Bombyx mori: one gene and its partners. The protein of the gene in region 2 binds, or shares a complex with, the protein of the main gene of each other region. Links are inferred from orthologs where the notes say so. Each region holds a gene or a part of one and is shown on either strand. Other genes may lie near its edges.

What was found.
Region 1: U4/U6 small nuclear ribonucleoprotein Prp31 (region 2) and U6 snRNA-associated Sm-like protein LSm8 share a complex: the UniProt entries of both Homo sapiens proteins name them as parts of the U4/U6-U5 tri-snRNP complex. The link is inferred for Bombyx mori from reciprocal best matches to the Homo sapiens genes PRPF31 and LSM8.
Region 3: U4/U6 small nuclear ribonucleoprotein Prp31 (region 2) and U6 snRNA-associated Sm-like protein LSm4 share a complex: the UniProt entries of both Homo sapiens proteins name them as parts of the U4/U6-U5 tri-snRNP complex. The link is inferred for Bombyx mori from reciprocal best matches to the Homo sapiens genes PRPF31 and LSM4.

What each region holds. Positions count from the first base shown.
Region 1 is NC_085112.1:10,370,764-10,373,199, forward strand, and holds U6 snRNA-associated Sm-like protein LSm8, read left to right. Parts: upstream 1-1,403; 5' UTR 1,404-1,512; coding exon 1,513-1,803; 3' UTR 1,804-1,831; downstream 1,832-2,436. UniProt on the Homo sapiens protein: Plays a role in pre-mRNA splicing as component of the U4/U6-U5 tri-snRNP complex that is involved in spliceosome assembly, and as component of the precatalytic spliceosome (spliceosome B complex).
Region 2 is NC_085116.1:12,784,452-12,788,842, reverse strand, and holds the start of U4/U6 small nuclear ribonucleoprotein Prp31, read left to right. Parts: upstream 1-1,564; 5' UTR 1,565-1,687; exon of another isoform or gene 1,688-1,907; 5' UTR 1,908-1,919; coding exon 1,920-2,114; intron 2,115-2,187; coding exon 2,188-2,323; intron 2,324-2,498; coding exon 2,499-2,703; intron 2,704-3,037; coding exon 3,038-3,180; intron 3,181-4,006; coding exon 4,007-4,191; intron 4,192-4,391. Other genes in the region: probable nuclear transport factor 2, read right to left, coding at 1-100. UniProt on the Homo sapiens protein: Involved in pre-mRNA splicing as component of the spliceosome. Required for the assembly of the U4/U5/U6 tri-snRNP complex, one of the building blocks of the spliceosome.
Region 3 is NC_085117.1:3,992,088-3,994,898, forward strand, and holds U6 snRNA-associated Sm-like protein LSm4, read left to right. Parts: upstream 1-1,380; 5' UTR 1,381-1,747; coding exon 1,748-2,167; 3' UTR 2,168-2,206; downstream 2,207-2,811. Other genes in the region: guanine nucleotide-binding protein-like 1, read right to left, coding at 1-63. UniProt on the Homo sapiens protein: Plays a role in pre-mRNA splicing as component of the U4/U6-U5 tri-snRNP complex that is involved in spliceosome assembly, and as component of the precatalytic spliceosome (spliceosome B complex).

The sequences.
Region 1 (2,436 bases), on a different chromosome or scaffold from region 2:
GCTTGTGTCTTGTGACTTGTTGTCCACAATATTGTAGAGAAGCATTACTCGGTAATATGTTGCACAGTGTATCACAGCGGTCGGGGAACTTTTTTAATTATTACCCCAAAATATATTTTTTTAAGTTGGTTGGTTGGGTAATTACCCCATGGCGAAGAACAAAAAAAATATGAAATCGCTTCTTTTTAGTATCTTTCATATTATAGCCCCGATGATAATTTTCAAAAGAAAAAACTAAAAATTTAATTTAAGCATCATTTATTCAATTTATCAATGTAATACATAGTAATACATAACGGTAATAATAGTAATATCTGTAATATACAGTTGAGGAAAAAAAATCACCCCCACAGAGAATATAAGTAATTGATAATTTCTTGTTATTTTATAATTCACACGATGCCTACAATAAAATACCTGGGTCAATCACGTGAACTTTGTGTTTCCAAATAATGTGTTCTATCTCATTCTCTCGCCGGCTGAATCCTATATATTTATGTGTTTGTGTCTCTATGGACTTATTTTTCGTTTCGTTTAATTTCGTTTCATCGAATTTGAAATCACAACGATTCTAAAGAAGCTTCACTTCAATATATACTTTTTACTCACAAAAGTTTCATTTTTACGCCCCAAAATTTCATTTTAGGTAATTTACCCCGGTTCCCTGGCTGCTGGTGTATCATAATAATTTGTGAATATATGATCCGTCAGATCTTTTCTACCCAATTTACACGCTTTATATTAACTTCACTTGTATGTATGTTTGCAACTGACTCCTTTAGACGCGATTTTGACCCACTTTAAACGGCCAGAATTCATTCAAACTTTGTAGATTTATCGAGGACCGATAAAAAAATACTAATTTGATAAGATTATTCCATTATTCAATTTATAAAATAAGATTTTGGTCAATTTATATAATTTTTATCTATACTCGATAAGGCAGGAATTGATGTTAATGTACTTAATAGTTTTAAAAATACGCTTTTAAAGAAAATTTAAAATACATAATAGTTTAAAAAACTAAAAAAGACACTTTATATAAAATTCAACTAAAAAATTAAAATAAATTTTAATAAATTTAAATTGAAAATAGTGTAAAATATATTTTATTTAAAAAAAAGAGTGGGGTGCTTTTTAAGATATTATTGAAATAATAATTCTTCTACTCATATCTGTCAGAAAAATATTTATAACTAATAACACCATGCACCCCATGCTTTTTTTACAATAAAATATATTTTACACTATATTCAATTTAAATTTATTAAAATTTATTTTCTATTTTTTTAGTTGAATTTTAGATAAAGCGTGTTTTTTATTTTTTTAAACTATTATTTATTATGTAGTAATCATGTAGGTAGTAATAGTAATTGTAGTAGCTATTATACTAATCTGTGTAGGTACACATTTCAAATAATAATCTGTGGCAGCTCCCTGAAATTTGAAAATTTCTTATAGTTGTTTGATGTTGATTATTACTAATTTGAATTTATAAATAAAATAATTAGAATGGCTTCTGGACTCGAAAATTACGTGAATCAAACAGTGTCGGTAATAACTTCGGATGGACGTAATTTTATTGGCACCCTTAAGGGCTTTGACCAAACAATAAATATTATTTTAGACGAATCTCACGAAAGAGTGTTTTCCTCCACAAGTGGCGTCGCTCAAGTAGTACTTGGACTTCACATAATCAGAGGAGACAATGTGGCAATAGTCGGGCAAATAGACGAGTCAATTGATAGCAGATTAGACCTCGGAAACATCAAGGCAGAACCACTTGGACCAATGGTACATTAGAACTAGTTAATAAATGTTTTGTTATCAATCGGTGTTTCATTTGGGCAAATAAATATCATATTTTGTATTCGTCTCTTGTCTTGATTTACTAATTCGCAAAGCAGAATACATATTTTCACCCATAAAAATTAATCTTAGCCCTGGCTTGGGTTTTCCATTCTCTGAATAGGATTTGTGATAGCATGCCCTGTAATACCTGTTAGAATAGACAACACCCTGGATATATGTTCATTTCTTTGAACATAATCCTTAGGAAGTTACTTATGATGCCTATTGTAAACTACCAAATTAAGGGTTATATGTTTTACTCTTTCACAAAATACACATGAAGGTTCAAATACATTAAATCCCTGTATAATATATTCACAGGAATCAAAAATATTCATAGGTACTAAAAGAACCTTATTTCTCATTTGCTAATGGGTCTCATCACAATCAGCTCAGTTAGCCTGTTACCAACACAATTTTTTTAATGTGTTTGTGCTCTAGTAACTGGCATATAAATAACCGTTTTAGAATAAGCATAATAGCATTTCTTTTAATCGGCAAAGCCAAATAAACAAGAAAAAGATGCTTGAATTTTTTATTTTAATCGTGTCACAAAAAATGTTTTAGCATTGGTAATTATTTCAT
Region 2 (4,391 bases):
TATTAACAAGATTTGCCCGTTGAGCCGGATCATCGAACAATGTGTAATATTGTTGCACAAAACCTTTACCGATTGCATCGTACTGCGGATTGAGCGCCATTTAGATTAAGATGTGTCTATTTGTCACTGTAAAAGATTGATATCTTTGAATATACTAAAAAATTGAATAGGAAGGTGTTCACTTAACTTTATTTAAATATTAGGCGTCTACACACCACCAACAAAAAGCCCAATTCCAGCCGAAAAATTCAAGATGTGACGAACTGACGAAAAGGGGCTTGAAAATTTATTCTGCTTGTTGACAGTTATGACATATTTTTTTTTAATGATTCTGAATGTAGTGTCTAAGAGGTATAAGATCATACAACACTACTATTTTCTACTAAAGCTGAGCTGTTTCCACTATTATGGATTAAAAGTATTAAAATCTAATGCTCTGACGTACTTTTTAGGAAAATCCTGTAATATATTTTTCAATTGTTATTAGAAAATAAGTCAAACTTGATCCACGTAATTCTTCAGATTAAAAGTACATTTCTTCTTCTTCGTCGCTTCCTCATTACTGTGGATCATGAGTCGTGACCACCTTGGTCTAATTGCACTAGTTTCCTACAATGCTGCCTGCATTTGGCCTGCTGAATGGCACCCGGAACGCTGGTGTTTGTGGCTTCCTTGGCAATGTCCGTCCATCTGGTTGGCAATCTTCCTCGAGCTCTCTTTCCTTCCACGTGACCTACAATTATTATTTTTTCCAATTTGTCAAGATTTCGTCAGGTCACGTGTCCGAAGTACTTGAGGAGATGCTGCATACAGATCGTAGATAGACAGGTCTTGACGTTTAGCTCCGAGAGAATTGATACATTTGTTCGGCGCTCCGTCCATGATACGACCAACATTTTGCGCCAACATCACATTTCAAATGCGTCAATTTTCAATCGGATACGGGCCTTGAGGGTCCACGTCTCAGAAGCGTACGAGAGTATGGAGAAGATAAGGGTTCTCATGAGCTTTATCTTAGTTTTTTGTTTATGTTGCGATTTCTCCAAATCTTCATAAATTTGATTCAATTCTTAAAAAAAAAACCAAGACTATTTCATTACAGCTTTCAGTATTTTTTAAATTGTAAAAAACAATCAAAAGTCACCGTCCTGTGAGACCTTTTGGCGGGAACGCGAAGAGCGAAGTTGTGTGAATTGTTTTAATTTGTCTATTTAGTATTTCTTTAGGTTTAAATGTGTAATAACGGTGGTTAATTATGAACTATTTAGTATTTATGAATATGCACAAATGTGGGAAAATGAAATAAAACTGCTGGGCGCAGCTTCTCGGGATCTACTGAAAAGTTCACTGAAAAGTCTTAATAAATATCTAACCACTATTTTACTGAGATTATATTTTATCCCATATCATCTCATCTTATTTCATTTAATTTCATCTCTATTAATGAATATCTCCAGTTAATCAACTTAAATTCATTTAGCTTCATATCATTTCCATGAAAGAGAATCTATAATTTATGAATAAACATATCGTATGATACCTTCGTCTTTATACTTGGAAAAATGGAATTACTACATACTAGGTAGGTACGGTACTACTTACTACTGTCAAGTACCGTACTGTCACTGTCATTTCTGTTTACTTTTCAAATTAACTATTGCAAATATTAGTCGCCGTAGGTACATAGGTAGGTAAATCATTTAGTTTTGGGTACAAACTATTGAAGTTTAATGACATCGCTGACTAAAAAATCAAATTAATATCTATAATGTATACTAAATGAAATATACTGTATAGCTGTGAAAGTCGATTTGAGTAAAAAACTGTAATAATTGTAGAATATTACAGAATACAATAGAAACAGAACAAGCTCACACATAAACTTAACACTCAGAAAATCAATTTAGTTCTACAGAAGCATGTCTCTAGCTGACGAATTACTTGCTGATTTAGAAGAAAATGACGATGGTGAACTCGAAGCTGCTATCGAGAGCAAAACCAAAGAAGAATACGACTTTGCAGTTCCATATCCCGTCTTACCTAAAGAAGAAGAAATCAAGAATGTCTCGATAAGAGAACTCGCGAAACTAAGATATTCTGATCGTCTGAAACGTGTATGTATTTAATAAAGTTTCTTGAAGAACAGTTTAAATATAAATTACAATTTTTCATGTAAACAACTTTTAGGTTATGAGTGAAATAGAATGTAATGCTGGAAATAACAGAAATAAGGTTGAAGTTGCTGGCTTAATGGAGTCTGACCCTGAGTATCAACTGATTGTGGAAGCAAATAATGTTGCTGTTGAAATTGATGGTGAAATAGGTATGCATTCCAATCTCCATTTTTCATGTGTTGATTTGTTTATTAAAACAGTTTCAGAGAATTGAACTTTTATGATTGAACGTAGTGTTAATAGTTCTCTTTTCATGAAATTATTATCTTGGTTGTCTAATTATTACTGCTTACAATATTAAAGTCAAGAAATGCAAATTTTCAGCTATTATTCACAGATTTGTCCGTGACAAATATCAGAAACGGTTTCCTGAATTGGAATCTCTAATCATCACTCCATTGGAATACATAAGGACAGTGAAAGAACTTGGCAATGATTTGGACAGGGCTAAGAATAATGAAATATTACAGAGTTTTCTTACTCAGGCCACTATTATGATTGTTTCTGTTACTGCATCTACAACTCAAGGGTTAGCTTCTTATTTGTTTTCTATTTGTGGTCTATTTTGTTTGCTAATATAAATCAATGCACTCACTCTGAGAAACATCGTGCCACATGTCATTGCAACGCGAGAGCATTGGTATCGCAGAATTCGACTGATACATGACCACAACCACTCTGTTAAGACTGTACGACTAGGAAGAAGAAAGAATAAATGTAAATAAAAATGTAGAAATGCAACATTTCAAATTCATTTAAATTATTATAGTGGACTAGAGTACAAAACAGGGACTTTGAAGATTTATTTTGATGAACATTTTGTGTAAAATAGTTACTTATTAAACAACTCAATCATTTGACAGGAAATTACTAAGCCAAATTGAACTAGAAGAAATCAATGAGGCCTGTGATATGGCAAGTGAGCTGAACAATTTCAAATCGCAAATATATGAGTATGTTGAAAGTAGAATGACTTTTATTGCACCAAACATAACTGCCATTGTTGGTAAGTGATACATTCTGTTGCCTATAATTACTAATATAAATTCTATTTAACACTCCCAAAACGATTAGTGGTAACAATTGTGCAATCACCCTTAGCCAACTGCAATTATTCCCCTCATCATATAATTTCCAAAATAGCAGAGTATTAGAAGGACCAAATGCCTCTTTCTGCATTTTTTGAGCCTGGCAGATTGTAAGTGCATCAGAACTCTAAATTGTAACCCTTTTAAAATAACATTTGCTTGGCAAAGTAGAGAAACGATCTGTTGTTAGAACGAGATGTTTTTTCTGTAGCAATTTATTCCCTTTTTACAATGCTCAGGAGGTCTGACCTGTCTGGTAGTTTGCACTCTGTTCTTGTCCATCATTGGATGGCCTTATTTATACTAAAACTATATCCAAAAATTTGTTGAGAGTGCTCGGGTTCTACGTTTAACAAGCCACCCTCCAATGGTCTAGACATTAAAATAATTTAACTAATCCCCCTCGCGACAAAATATTTAACCATATTGATATATTGGTAGTTGTTAATCAACTACAATAGAATATTTCTTAAATGAATGTGAGCATATTAAATGAATACTTTTTCTAATTGAAGGGTATGTGTGAATGAGTTCAGAATTATCCTGGTGATAAGTGGTTATCGAAGCCCATAGTAAGCACAATGGCACCACAAGCTCTTAGTTATATTTTATAACCCATCACACCATCCAAGCCAGAACTTAACTGCTTCATGGCACAAATATCCAAAGACAATGAAAACTACCCATGCGGGCTTACAATATGTTGTACCACCTGCGAATTTCTATCAAAACTATGTATTTCAGGAGCATCAACAGCAGCAAAAATCCTTGGTGTGGCCGGTGGATTGTCTAAATTATCAAAGATGCCAGCGTGTAATGTGTTACCTCTCGGGCAACAGAAGAAGACACTGTCAGGCTTCTCGCAAGCAACAGCTCTACCTCATACTGGGTTCATTTATTTTTCACAAATTGTACAAGATACAACACCTGTGAGTAATTTGAATATGATGATAATATAATATGAAAACATATTTTTTTAAGTATGACAATGGTATATTGAAGTTTTTGGTACCGAAATGTATTTTAGCCGTTTTACTCAGACTTAAACATTTTCTACTCCTGCAGTATTTCAGTTGAATTCTTAAAGATGTGATCACTATAAGCGAATAAGGTTTTTGAAACAGCCATG
Region 3 (2,811 bases), on a different chromosome or scaffold from region 2:
AGACTGCAGTTGTTGTTTTTTGGCCTTCCCGCTGAACGGGGTCTTCCGACGTGCTTGGGGCATGACGAGTAACTCTGTTAATTATGGACAATGTTATTATGAAGTAAACATCTTTACAACTGTTGAACTGCAAGTACAGTTTTAATATTTTTCTGGGTATTTTAATTATTTTATTGAATATCACGTCATAGTATTTTACCATTATACTTTTTCTCGCTCTGATGACCAGATTTGAAGATACAAAAGTAACGCTTACAGGTGTAAGTGTAAACTCAAAAAATGTAGGTACTGGGTAATGTATTATTTATCAAATATACTAAACTAATTGATCGTAATAAGCGATTAAGAATCTGATTTTCAAAAACCGTAACCGATTTTTAACCGTAATTAAATCAAGAATTAATAAACTTAACTAATTAATAAAGAGAAAAACTAAAATTTGGAACACGAGGTCTCCTTGGAATATTATAATTGTACAGAAATAGTTTCAAACTTACGTTAGACTCAAAACAAGAAATCTATTCCTAATTTCTCACTGAAGGGCTTGAACTTATTATCTTTTTACCTATTTAATTGATTTTCGTGTGAATATGAAAATTATTCTACCGACCGGCTAACAATTGAAAACATTTTTTTTCACAGGATTGACAATTGACAGCTGACCGACAAATTAAAGGCATTGAACTCTGTTTTTTTTTTCAAATTTAGGATATTTTCTAAGGGATTTTATGACCTAGTAACTAAAACTTTTAGGTCAAATCTTATTTTAATTTATTTAATTCTTATTTTTACGAAAAATGATAATATAGAGTGAAATGAAATGAAGATGAAATGAAGTGAGATGAAATTAAATGAAATGAGATGAGATGATGTAGGATGAAATATAATCTCAGTAAAATGGTGGACATTTACTAAGACTTTTCAATTGGCTCTTTGGACGATCCCAACAAGCTACGTCTAGCGGATTTGTTTCAATTTCCCACACTTGTGCACTTTCACAGATATTATACAGTTAAACCTGAAGAAACAATAAATAGACAAAATAAAACAAATCACACAACTTCACTCCCCGCGTTCCCGCCAAAAAGTAAAAATTTATGATAATTTTGACAGCTCACAGTAAGGATGCTAAAGTCATTGACTTTGGATTATCGAACATAGATTTATTCTCATGGAACTAGAAATTGATAGTTGCATGGACAGTAAGCTGTATGGTCAAATTAAAACAAAAAAAGTTACATTACATTTAACTATTAAGTTCAGCAACAAAACCCTTCAACACCAGTTTCGATACGTTCTTTTTTTTCATCATTTATCCTATTGAATGCAATTTTTGTAGACGGGTTCACCTTTAGAATAAATTGAAACCAGGAATGAGATTTCTAATTATTTATTACTAATACAATGGTGTGCAACGTAAATTGTTTTATTATTATTCATCATCATCACAAGATTCACTACTACTAGAACTGTCCCTTAACTCTCCAGTTGGACTCGTCTACTTGTAAATTCTTGTTCACAAACTTCATTACATTACCATTGAAGCAATTTTCACTTCTTCTCAAATATTAAGTGTATTATCTGTGCGTCTTCTGACAACTGAGCACTGTCAGTGTCAACCTAAAGTCCTAAAGTAACCTAAAAAAACAAGAAGTTGACAATACACCAAACAACGCGAAAGTAGGAAAATAAACTTCTAATACAAATAAATAATAAACTTCAAAACGAAGTTGATCATTACATCAAAATGTTGCCGCTATCTTTGTTACGGACAGCGCAGAACCACCCTATGCTTGTCGAATTGAAAAATGGCGAAACTTACAATGGTCATCTCGTAAGCTGCGATAATTGGATGAACATTAATTTACGTGAAGTTATTTGCACGTCGAGAGACGGCGACAAGTTCTGGAGGATGCCGGAATGTTATATACGTGGTAGTACGATCAAATACTTGAGAATACCGGACGAGGTCATCGACATGGTGAAGGAGGAGACACAGGTTAAAGCGCGCGGTCGTAACGAGGTTTCCAAGGGACGCGGGCAAAACATGAGGACCGGTGGCCGTGGTGGTAGCCGAGGCGCATTCGGTAACCGCGGCAGAGCACCTCCACTAGCCCGTGGCGGCGGGAACCCGCGACCACAGAACAAAAATAAAAATAAAATGTAAGATAAGTTTTTTAATAAATTAAGTTATTTGGCTAAGGAATAGTTTTGTTTCATTTAAAGTTCAAAATTCCTCCATACATGCTGGTGCAAAGCAACCATATATTTGACCAAATCCAAGATTATTTATTAGTCATAATCCTGATGTAGAATTCATTGAAAATCAATAATATCTAAATAATTTGGAAACTGCAGATGCACAGGTAGTTATGAATTCATCAATCCATTAATATAAAATATTTAAGCTACCCATATCTCTGTTAAATCTAAAATGGGATACAACTTTATTATTTCTTGATATTTTAAGAAAATACATTTTTTTGTTTTATATCTTTAATTGGTTTTCACACTATTCAATTCGTGTCAATATATAAAAAAAATCAAAGTATACTGAAATCATTTATTTACAAAAAACGCTTAAAGTAATAATACTATTGTATAATATGGCAATACCCATTAATGAAATGGTAAAAAACAGAGTAAAAAAAAACAGTGTAAAAGCAATATTTTAATGATGATCCTTGAAACTTGATACAGATAGAGTTATCACATTTGAATAGAACACTTACTTAATTTCTAAGCTGCTAAGAGATGAGGAGTTCCATAGTCAGGATGTTGATCCTGATTATCACAGTTGACAGACCATCA